Caenorhabditis elegans: one gene and its partner. The protein of the gene in region 1 interacts with the protein of each later gene in a pairwise test. Each region holds a gene or a part of one and is shown on either strand. Other genes may lie near its edges.

What was found. The genes of interacting proteins can lie anywhere in the genome.
Region 2: the proteins of mesp-1 (region 1) and plk-1 interact in a two-hybrid assay, tested with the Caenorhabditis elegans proteins (2 studies listed by BioGRID, with this or other methods).

Annotation. Positions count from the first base shown.
Region 1 is NC_003282.8:8,497,419-8,500,582, reverse strand, and holds mesp-1 (MEiotic SPindle), read right to left. Parts: upstream 1,274-3,164; 5' UTR 1,241-1,273; coding exon 743-1,240; intron 696-742; coding exon 612-695; 3' UTR 507-611; downstream 1-506. Other genes in the region: acdh-13 (Acyl-CoA dehydrogenase family member 9, mitochondrial), read left to right, coding at 1,760-1,863, 1,916-2,003, 2,050-2,562, 2,608-2,967, 3,010-3,126.
Region 2 is NC_003281.10:8,099,846-8,104,618, reverse strand, and holds plk-1 (Serine/threonine-protein kinase plk-1), read right to left. Parts: upstream 3,272-4,773; coding exon 3,026-3,271; intron 2,979-3,025; coding exon 2,379-2,978; intron 2,136-2,378; coding exon 1,809-2,135; intron 1,763-1,808; coding exon 1,316-1,762; intron 1,267-1,315; coding exon 1,153-1,266; intron 1,105-1,152; coding exon 892-1,104; 3' UTR 550-891; downstream 1-549. Other genes in the region: K06H7.1 (uncharacterized protein), read right to left, coding at 3,981-4,125, 4,169-4,278, 4,321-4,461, 4,508-4,714, 4,760-4,773. UniProt on the Caenorhabditis elegans protein: Required for oocyte nuclear envelope breakdown before entry of oocyte into spermatheca. In meiotic cells, required for spindle dynamics and probably for spindle attachment to the chromosomes. Zygotic role in the development of the germline and nerve cord.

The DNA of each region.
Region 1 (3,164 bases):
TCCAAAATCACATTTTCCAAAAATTCACTTTTAAAAATTCCGAGTCTATATAGGAGGCGAAAACCGAGTCTAAATAGAAGCAAAACGCACTTATATTTAGAAAAGAGTAGAACTATTTAGAAGAAGAAAGTATTTCTAATTAGAAGAAGTAGACATATTTAGAAGAAAAATGCGCTTATATTTAGAAAAGAGTAGACCTATTTAGTTAAAAAGCTCTGCTATTTAGATGAAAAAGCATTTCTAATTATGTCGTGTTGGGAGCTAGCGCCATTTCTAAATATATCTGCTTTTTTCTTCTAAATAGAAGCGAAAACGTTTATCTGAGAATGTTTCTGATGACAACAAGAAATGTGTCCACATTGTGCACGAAACAAACAGCGAATCCGGGTTACATGTCAAATTCCTGTTTGCGTATGAACACTGCATTCAAGGTTTTGAACCGAATACGCGATTTAAAATTCTTAAAATGTATCGGTGCCGTCGGTGCCGATGTGAAATCAATTAGCTGAGCAACCGGTTTTATTTACAGAAAAAAATGACCGGGTTAGTAGTTAATATTGAACAAAGAATGAAGAAATAAAATAAATTAACAGGAATCATCGCATTGGCGATCAGTCTTCGCGATTAACGCGGTTCAGCCACGACTTCGTTGGCCTCGCGAAGGATGGTGTCTTCGGCACTGTGCATTTTCGGATCTGAAAACATTTTATTAGAACACATTTATTGTTTCTTAAACACAAACCTTTGCCGAAGGATGCACTCTCCAGTGTACGTCTCTTCTTACAGGCTCCGTTGAAGCTGGGCGAGCTGACAGCGAGACTTGGCTGAGATGGCGGAGAGGCTCAGAAGATGGTCGCGGTGGTGGAGACACTGCAATTGATGATTCAGCGGGAAGAGTGAGCTCTCCATCGGAATCCAGCTGAATGAAGGTTTGCTCAATTGGAGGTGCCACGATCCGAGACAAGTCTTCGAAGCGAAATTCCTGTCGAGGAGCCGTAGGTGCAGGCGTTGAAGTGTAATCCGGCACAAACATTCTTCGGCTCTCCGGAAGGTGCCTGGCCGGTGTCGGTGTCCGTCCCATGAAGATATTTGCGCGAGTTGCCGGACGTGGGGTCTGATCCATGGATAGAATTGACCCAATCCTGTCTCTGAGCGAAGATCCGGCAAACTCGAACCGATTCCTCATCGATGTGTCCACTTCACGTCTGCTGGCGCTTGTATTCCCCTGAGGTGTTTTCATGTTCCTGGTTGGAGTTTTGGGAATCGCAAGCATCTGCAAGAAATATTCGATTTTGATAAATAAAAGATAGAGAGGAAATTAAGAGAGAACGATAAAAATTAAAATAATAAGAAAAAGCTCGTAGATGTGAAAAAATGAAATGAATATGAATTGTCAACAAGGAAAAATCATGTTAAAATAATTGGCGGCGAAATTCAGATCAGTGCGCATTAATATTAGATCAAAATTATAAAAATAAAACCTAGAGCGTCTAGAAATCGTGATACCGTACTCTTCACAAGTGAGAGAACATGTAAAAAGTAGAGACTCAGATGCGCGAGATTAAAGGCACGTTGATTTTTCCGGACGGGTCCACCACGAGACTGGGCGTGATTAAATGATACTTCAAAATTTGAAATTAGCGCGTTAATACTTCGTGGCCGTGGCCGAGAAAACTCGATTTTTACCCTAAACAATTTTCCCGGCCATATTATTTTTGAATTTTTCAGCGCTGTTTCTTTGCTTAAAACTCAAATTAAGATGCATCGGGCGTTGATCCGATTACAAAAACTGCATAAATGCAATGTGAGATGTCTCAGTGATGCAGCAAAATCAAAAGAAGTGGCTGGTATAAGTGAGAAAAGGTATTATTCAGTAATGTTTTTTCAGAAATAATGAAACTATTATTTTTTTCAGTAAATTTGCTATTCGAACTCTCGACAATACTTCGTCTATCGAGAAGAGGAGCTTGTCGAGAGGTTTCGCTATGAATAAGTTTGAAAAGGTTTGAATTTTTGCAAATATAAGTTTATGCGAACATATCATTCCAGGACTTCATGATCTACCCAGAATACACAGATTCAGATGATGTGCGTAATATTGAAGGGTTTGTGGATGTGTTGCGGAAATCACTTGAATTATCAGTTGACTCGAAATTAATAGAAAAAGAAGGGAAACTAGCTTCAGATACAATAGAAGCTCTTCGCTCGAATGCAATCTTTTCCTTGGCTATTGGAAAATATTTCGACGGCATCGGCATGTGTAATAAGGATTTGTCGAAAGTTTTCGAAGAACTCAGTGTAGATTGGAATGTATACACAACTTCACACATTTCTCTTCTTGTCGCAAACATTTTGACAATTTATGGATCTGATGAACAAAAGTCCAAGTATTTAGGAATTCTTGGGTCTGGAAAGCTTCGACCAGCGGTTGCAATTGTAAAAGATACGAATGGAGGAGTCTGTGAACAAACAGCTGGACCTGGTGGAAAATCAATGTTAAATGGTCAGAACATCCGAGTTATGGGTCATCACAATGCCAACTTTTACGTCGTTTTCGGAAATGTTAGTAGGAATTTCTGTTCTCTTTAAATTAACATTTATTTTCAGAACAACGGAGAGAAAACCTGCTTTCTACTCGATGAAGCTGAACTGGGAACCACCGACAAGATTCAATTTACACGTGACGAAACAATCGGACTGAAAGGAATTGACGTTGGGCGCATCGAGCTCACTGCATTGGTAACAGACAAAAATCTACTTGGAACACCCGGACACGGTTCCGAAATTGCATCGGAGCTGGTCGGTAGTGGTAGAATGCCATTCGCAGCCGCCACAATTGGAATGGCTCGAAGAGCACTTAGAGAACTATCGATTTGGTGTAATCGAACTCCGAGTAGGCAGAATGATCGCACAACTTTAGCGGACGATTCGAGATCACAAAGGATTGTGACTGAATTGGCACTGAAGGTACACTATTGCCACTATATTTTCAATAAATAATTATTTCAGGTATACGCCCTAGAGTCTTCGTTGTACTACTTGTCAGGATTGATCGACGAAGGACTATCAGTTGTCGTGGATATTGAGAACTCTTTGCTCTCTATTATGACTAGAGATGTTCTGCAGGTACATCTTATTTTTTAGATCTAAATAGTTACACTTTT
Region 2 (4,773 bases), on another chromosome or scaffold:
AAAAATTAGACGCACACTGATCGGCAATCGGCAATTGGCGATCGCCGATTTTTTTTTGGCAATTTGTGATCGGCGATCGCCGAAAAAAAAATTTCATCGGCGATCGCCGATTTTTTTGGCCGGCTGCTCAGCTCTGCTCTAGATCTCTAGAAATCCAAAATTCAAGCAGAGAGCAAAAACAATTTAAACTATTGTATTTTTGATTTCATATAACAGTTTATGTCCAACTGTTACAGTAAAGCAGATCCCATTGGCATAATTTGAGACTATTTGGAATCGAACCTGTTTGGATATAAAATAAGTGACGGAAACTGTTCAGAGTGGCAAGTAATTAAACAGAACATTTGTTACTTTGCGACCGTGATCTTTGTAACAATCATGTTCAAATAATTGTCTCGGAATCAGTAAATATTATACACGCTTTTTCGAAAATTCTGAAATGGAAAGTTGAGGCAGATGAGCAGCTCAACTTGATTTTTCCCAATGTGCTGCTATCTACCAAAAATGAAATTGTCGAGAAAGTTTGGAAAAATGAAGAATACAGTTTAATAATCATCGGTACGTTTTATTTCGTGGGACTAATACCAAAAAAAGATGATTCAATTAGCAAAAAGAAATAAAAACGCAAAATAAAAATCGCCTCGCCCATGAATACAAACGAATGAAAAAGGGCTACAGCGGGTCTCATCAGTATTTACAATGAAATGAGCTACGGGAGATCGAGGACGGGGAATAAAGACATGTTGGATGCTGAAACATGGGACTAAAAGGGTCGATGAAAAACAGCAACAATAAATGAAGAGTACGGGTTAAATGTATAGAATAATACTTCTTGGAATTAATCAGGAGATGTAAGCAAATTCATGGAAGTGGCAAAGAGCACATACGGATCTATCGACGTGGGTGAATATTGGATCCACTTGCCGACTGGGGAAGGTGCGATGCAGCTTGATTTGGTCCTCGTGATCCTGCCGAAGCTGAACGAGCAGCTGCCATTGACCGTGGCATATCCGGTTGACGAGCTGGATTCTGGGATACAACGTTAGCATCGCTCATCAACCTTTCGATCATTGTCTTCGCATACTTCAGTCGGTGAAGGAATTTCTGTAAATTATACGTTATATTTGTTGATACTGAAATGGCGATTCAAACCTCTGGACATCCATTGCGCTGAAGATTGTTCAGCTTGTAGGTGAGCATACGCTTGTTTTGATCGATGAATGTAACTGCTTGCATTAATGGGCACATCATCATCTTGACATGATCCTGAAAATTATATTGTTGGGTGTTTCCATTAAATTATGAATTTGCTTACATTGAAGAAATTTATCTGAACAGTTCCATTGGAAAGGTGCAAAACAATTGCTGATTTGGTTCTGAACCAAACTCGAAGCGTTGGTAAACGAGCCAAGTCATCACCAGCTCTTTGTTCAGATCCTTCTCCAGCTTTCACCAAATGGTCATTCATGTAGGATCGAAAATACTTAAGCAATGTGACTTTCTTGTTGAGCAATCCAGGCATTTCACCTGAGTGCATCGAGAAGTAGTGCTCTTTGTTGCTCTTCTCAATATAGGTCAACTCGTTTCCAGCTTGATCAAGCATGATACGAGAATTGTCATTGAAGAGAACTCCGACGGAATTGTCACATAGTTGATATCCGATGCCATACTTGTCCGAATAGTCAACCCATTTCGAAATCCAGAAAACCGGGAGGCACTCTGGTGATTGATAACCATCAAGAGCAGCTTCTTCTTCTTCCAGCTGTAACAAACTTTTAATTTAAAAAAAACCTCTTGTTTATTCTTACCCCTGGAATACGCTGCTCTAAGAGCACAGCAACTTGGTGGAAAAGTTGTGAAAGGTATGCATCCTCGGGCTCCCGGAAAGTCGCCTCTGCAGCTTGTTGTTGAGCACGCTCACGATCGGCATTGTTCGACACGATGTGTTGTGGGAGGGCAGACAATCCAGCTCTTCCGTTCAATGGGCGTTGTGAACGAGCATCAACCCCTCTTGGAGCAACATTTTCCTCCATCATCGAAGTTTCGTGTCCTCCGAACTTTGGCACCATAGTGAGGCAGGAGACTGGAAGTCTAGTCGGCATGAATCCTGACTTGAAGAAGCCATCGCGTTGAACCTGTAGGGTTTTCATTCCGAGTTGAAGAGATTTCATAACTTATTTAAATATTCGAACTGATTTTTTAAAAATTGTTTTCGATCTCTTTACTAATTAGAACGAAGGGCAATCAAACTGAACGTGAACTATCTCTCAATAAAAGTTCACGATAAAATTCAAAAGTACAAATTTTCTAATGATGAAACTCGAATCTCCGATAATACTAAAATGATTTTCACTCCAGTTCAAAACTATTGAAATTACCTGCTTGGCAGTCGGACGACGTGTTGGCTCAGGATCAAGCATCTTGCGGATTAGGCTTGCTGCTGGTTGTGTTGCGATCGACGGAATGGTGTAGTTGTTGTGGCGAATGCGTGAGTATGTCTCTTCAAGCGATTTAGACTCGAATGGTGGTTGTCCGAAAAGAAGAATGTACAGAATGCATCCAACTGCCCAAATGTCAACTTCAAATGAGTGTCCAGCTTTGTTCAAAACCTCCGGAGCTATGTAGTTTGGCGTTCCACACAACGTTTTCTTTCTCTCATCACCGTTGACCGTTGTTGCTAATCCGAAATCTCCAATTTTGACAACTAGATCATCATTGAGGAAAAGATTTCCAAGCTTCATATCACGATGAATGATGTTCAGATCATGCAAATACAGCACGCCATCCACAATTTGATGAGTGAAATAACGAGCTTCAGGTTCGGTGACCGCCTTTCTTCTTTTGTGCAACTCCATCAGCGACCGTCTTGCACATAACTCCAAAGTGATATACACGTTGAGATTGTCCTCGAAGAAGTTGAATAACTTCACGATATTGATGTGTCCAAGCTCTCGATGAATCTGCACCTCTTGTGTCATCTGAAAAATCGTAATATGCACTGAACTAAGATTCGTTCATTGTCTACCTTATCTCTCTGGTATTGCTTGACGAGCATCGACTTCGGAACCACTTTTCCAGCGACAACCTCGCGTGTTGCTCGATTCGTAAGCTCATAACAGTGAGCGAATCCTCCCTTGCCCAAAAATCGTCCTTTCTCATAATAGGTCCCACGATCCTTGTCGGCGATGAGAGCGGGAACCTCTGGTGGAGCCTTCTCCTTTCTTTGGTTGGACTTTTGTGGGGGTTTTGCAATGTTGGGAAGTCGATTCATCTGAAATGCAACACAAAAATTAAAATATTCAGTATTAATAATTGAATAAACGTTTTTATTTCTAAAAATGACAAGAGGCGAGCTGGAAACTTGAAAAAGAATCGGTAAAAGTCATTTTAGGACGAAAATGGCGGACGGCAAATTCGAATGTTGATGCTTGGCGGGCGCAGGTCTCGCAGCGAACCGTGTGTCGATTTACGCGCCGATGAAAAAGGGTGCTAAACAAAACAGCGCGCTGTCATCGATCAAACATTTTCTGGTCAAACATAAATATCACGGAGACATTGATTTAAAAAACGGTTTTAAAAATTGAAAAATTTATTATTCAATGTACTTTCTGCAATAATTTTGTACATTAATGTTTTAAAAATTAGCAACGAACCTTTTTGGGCTTGTAACAGAACATTTGCACGTGTGTTAAACGATGCCAGATGTTAATAAAAGAAAAATTAATTTTAAATGGATTAATACGTATATTTTATGGCGTACGTAATACATTTTTACCACGTGTCTTCCACGTCTTACCGTCATTTGGAGAGAAGGCAGCTTCTCTTTTTGGATTAGTGGTAAGTTTTCGTGGTTTACACGCCTTTCTTTGACGATTAAAATGGATGGAAAGAGATACTATAACAATTTTATTTAATACATGAGATAGGATATTTAGCTTCAAAAACACTATATTTCCAAGACGGCATCTCAAAACATAAAATTATGAAAACGCAACAATGTTATACGGTTTGAAATTGTCAGTTGAATCTTTCAAAACCAGCAAGGACGTTTTCTTGTTATTCTCATCTGGAACACTGTATACATCAACTGGCTCGAAGCACTCAGTTTTGACATCAAAGCGCTCTCTGAAATTAATTCTAGTTTGCCTAACATCAGTTTTCTGCTCACTTTCTATCATAATTCGTACACTTCAAATCTCCTGTGACTTTTTCAACATTCACGTGTTTAGTGAAAAACCATTCTAGGACAACAAATTGATCATTTAAGCTGAGACGTTTCTGAAAAATAACAATTCTTCATTCCATGATGATTTTCAATACCTTTATCGCATGAGCAACTATATTTTCATCAATTCTGTCCGAATAAAAAGAAAAATTTGGAATTGCAATACACAATGCTAGAAATTGGTCGGTTGAGAAAGAACAGTGCTCCATAATACTCAGTGTTTTGCAATTTTGGAACTGAAAATGTATTGTACCAAAAATATTCAAAAATAAACATACTTACATGTGGAAGATCAAATATCTTGGACGGAATATCAAGTGGATATTCTCCATGAGGAGCAATACACAGCTCATTTAGAGAGTTCGGATCAACTCTTTCAATCCACCACTCCAACATTTCCAGAGATTCCATTTTTAGAAAAAGCCTTCTAACGATGATTTTTGGAATGTTCAAAAGCTCATTCGAACTACAAATACATTTGCTTGCTTTCTGAAATATCAAAATACGCGGAATTCAGATTAATTTTTTAACTACCAAGTCTATAAAAA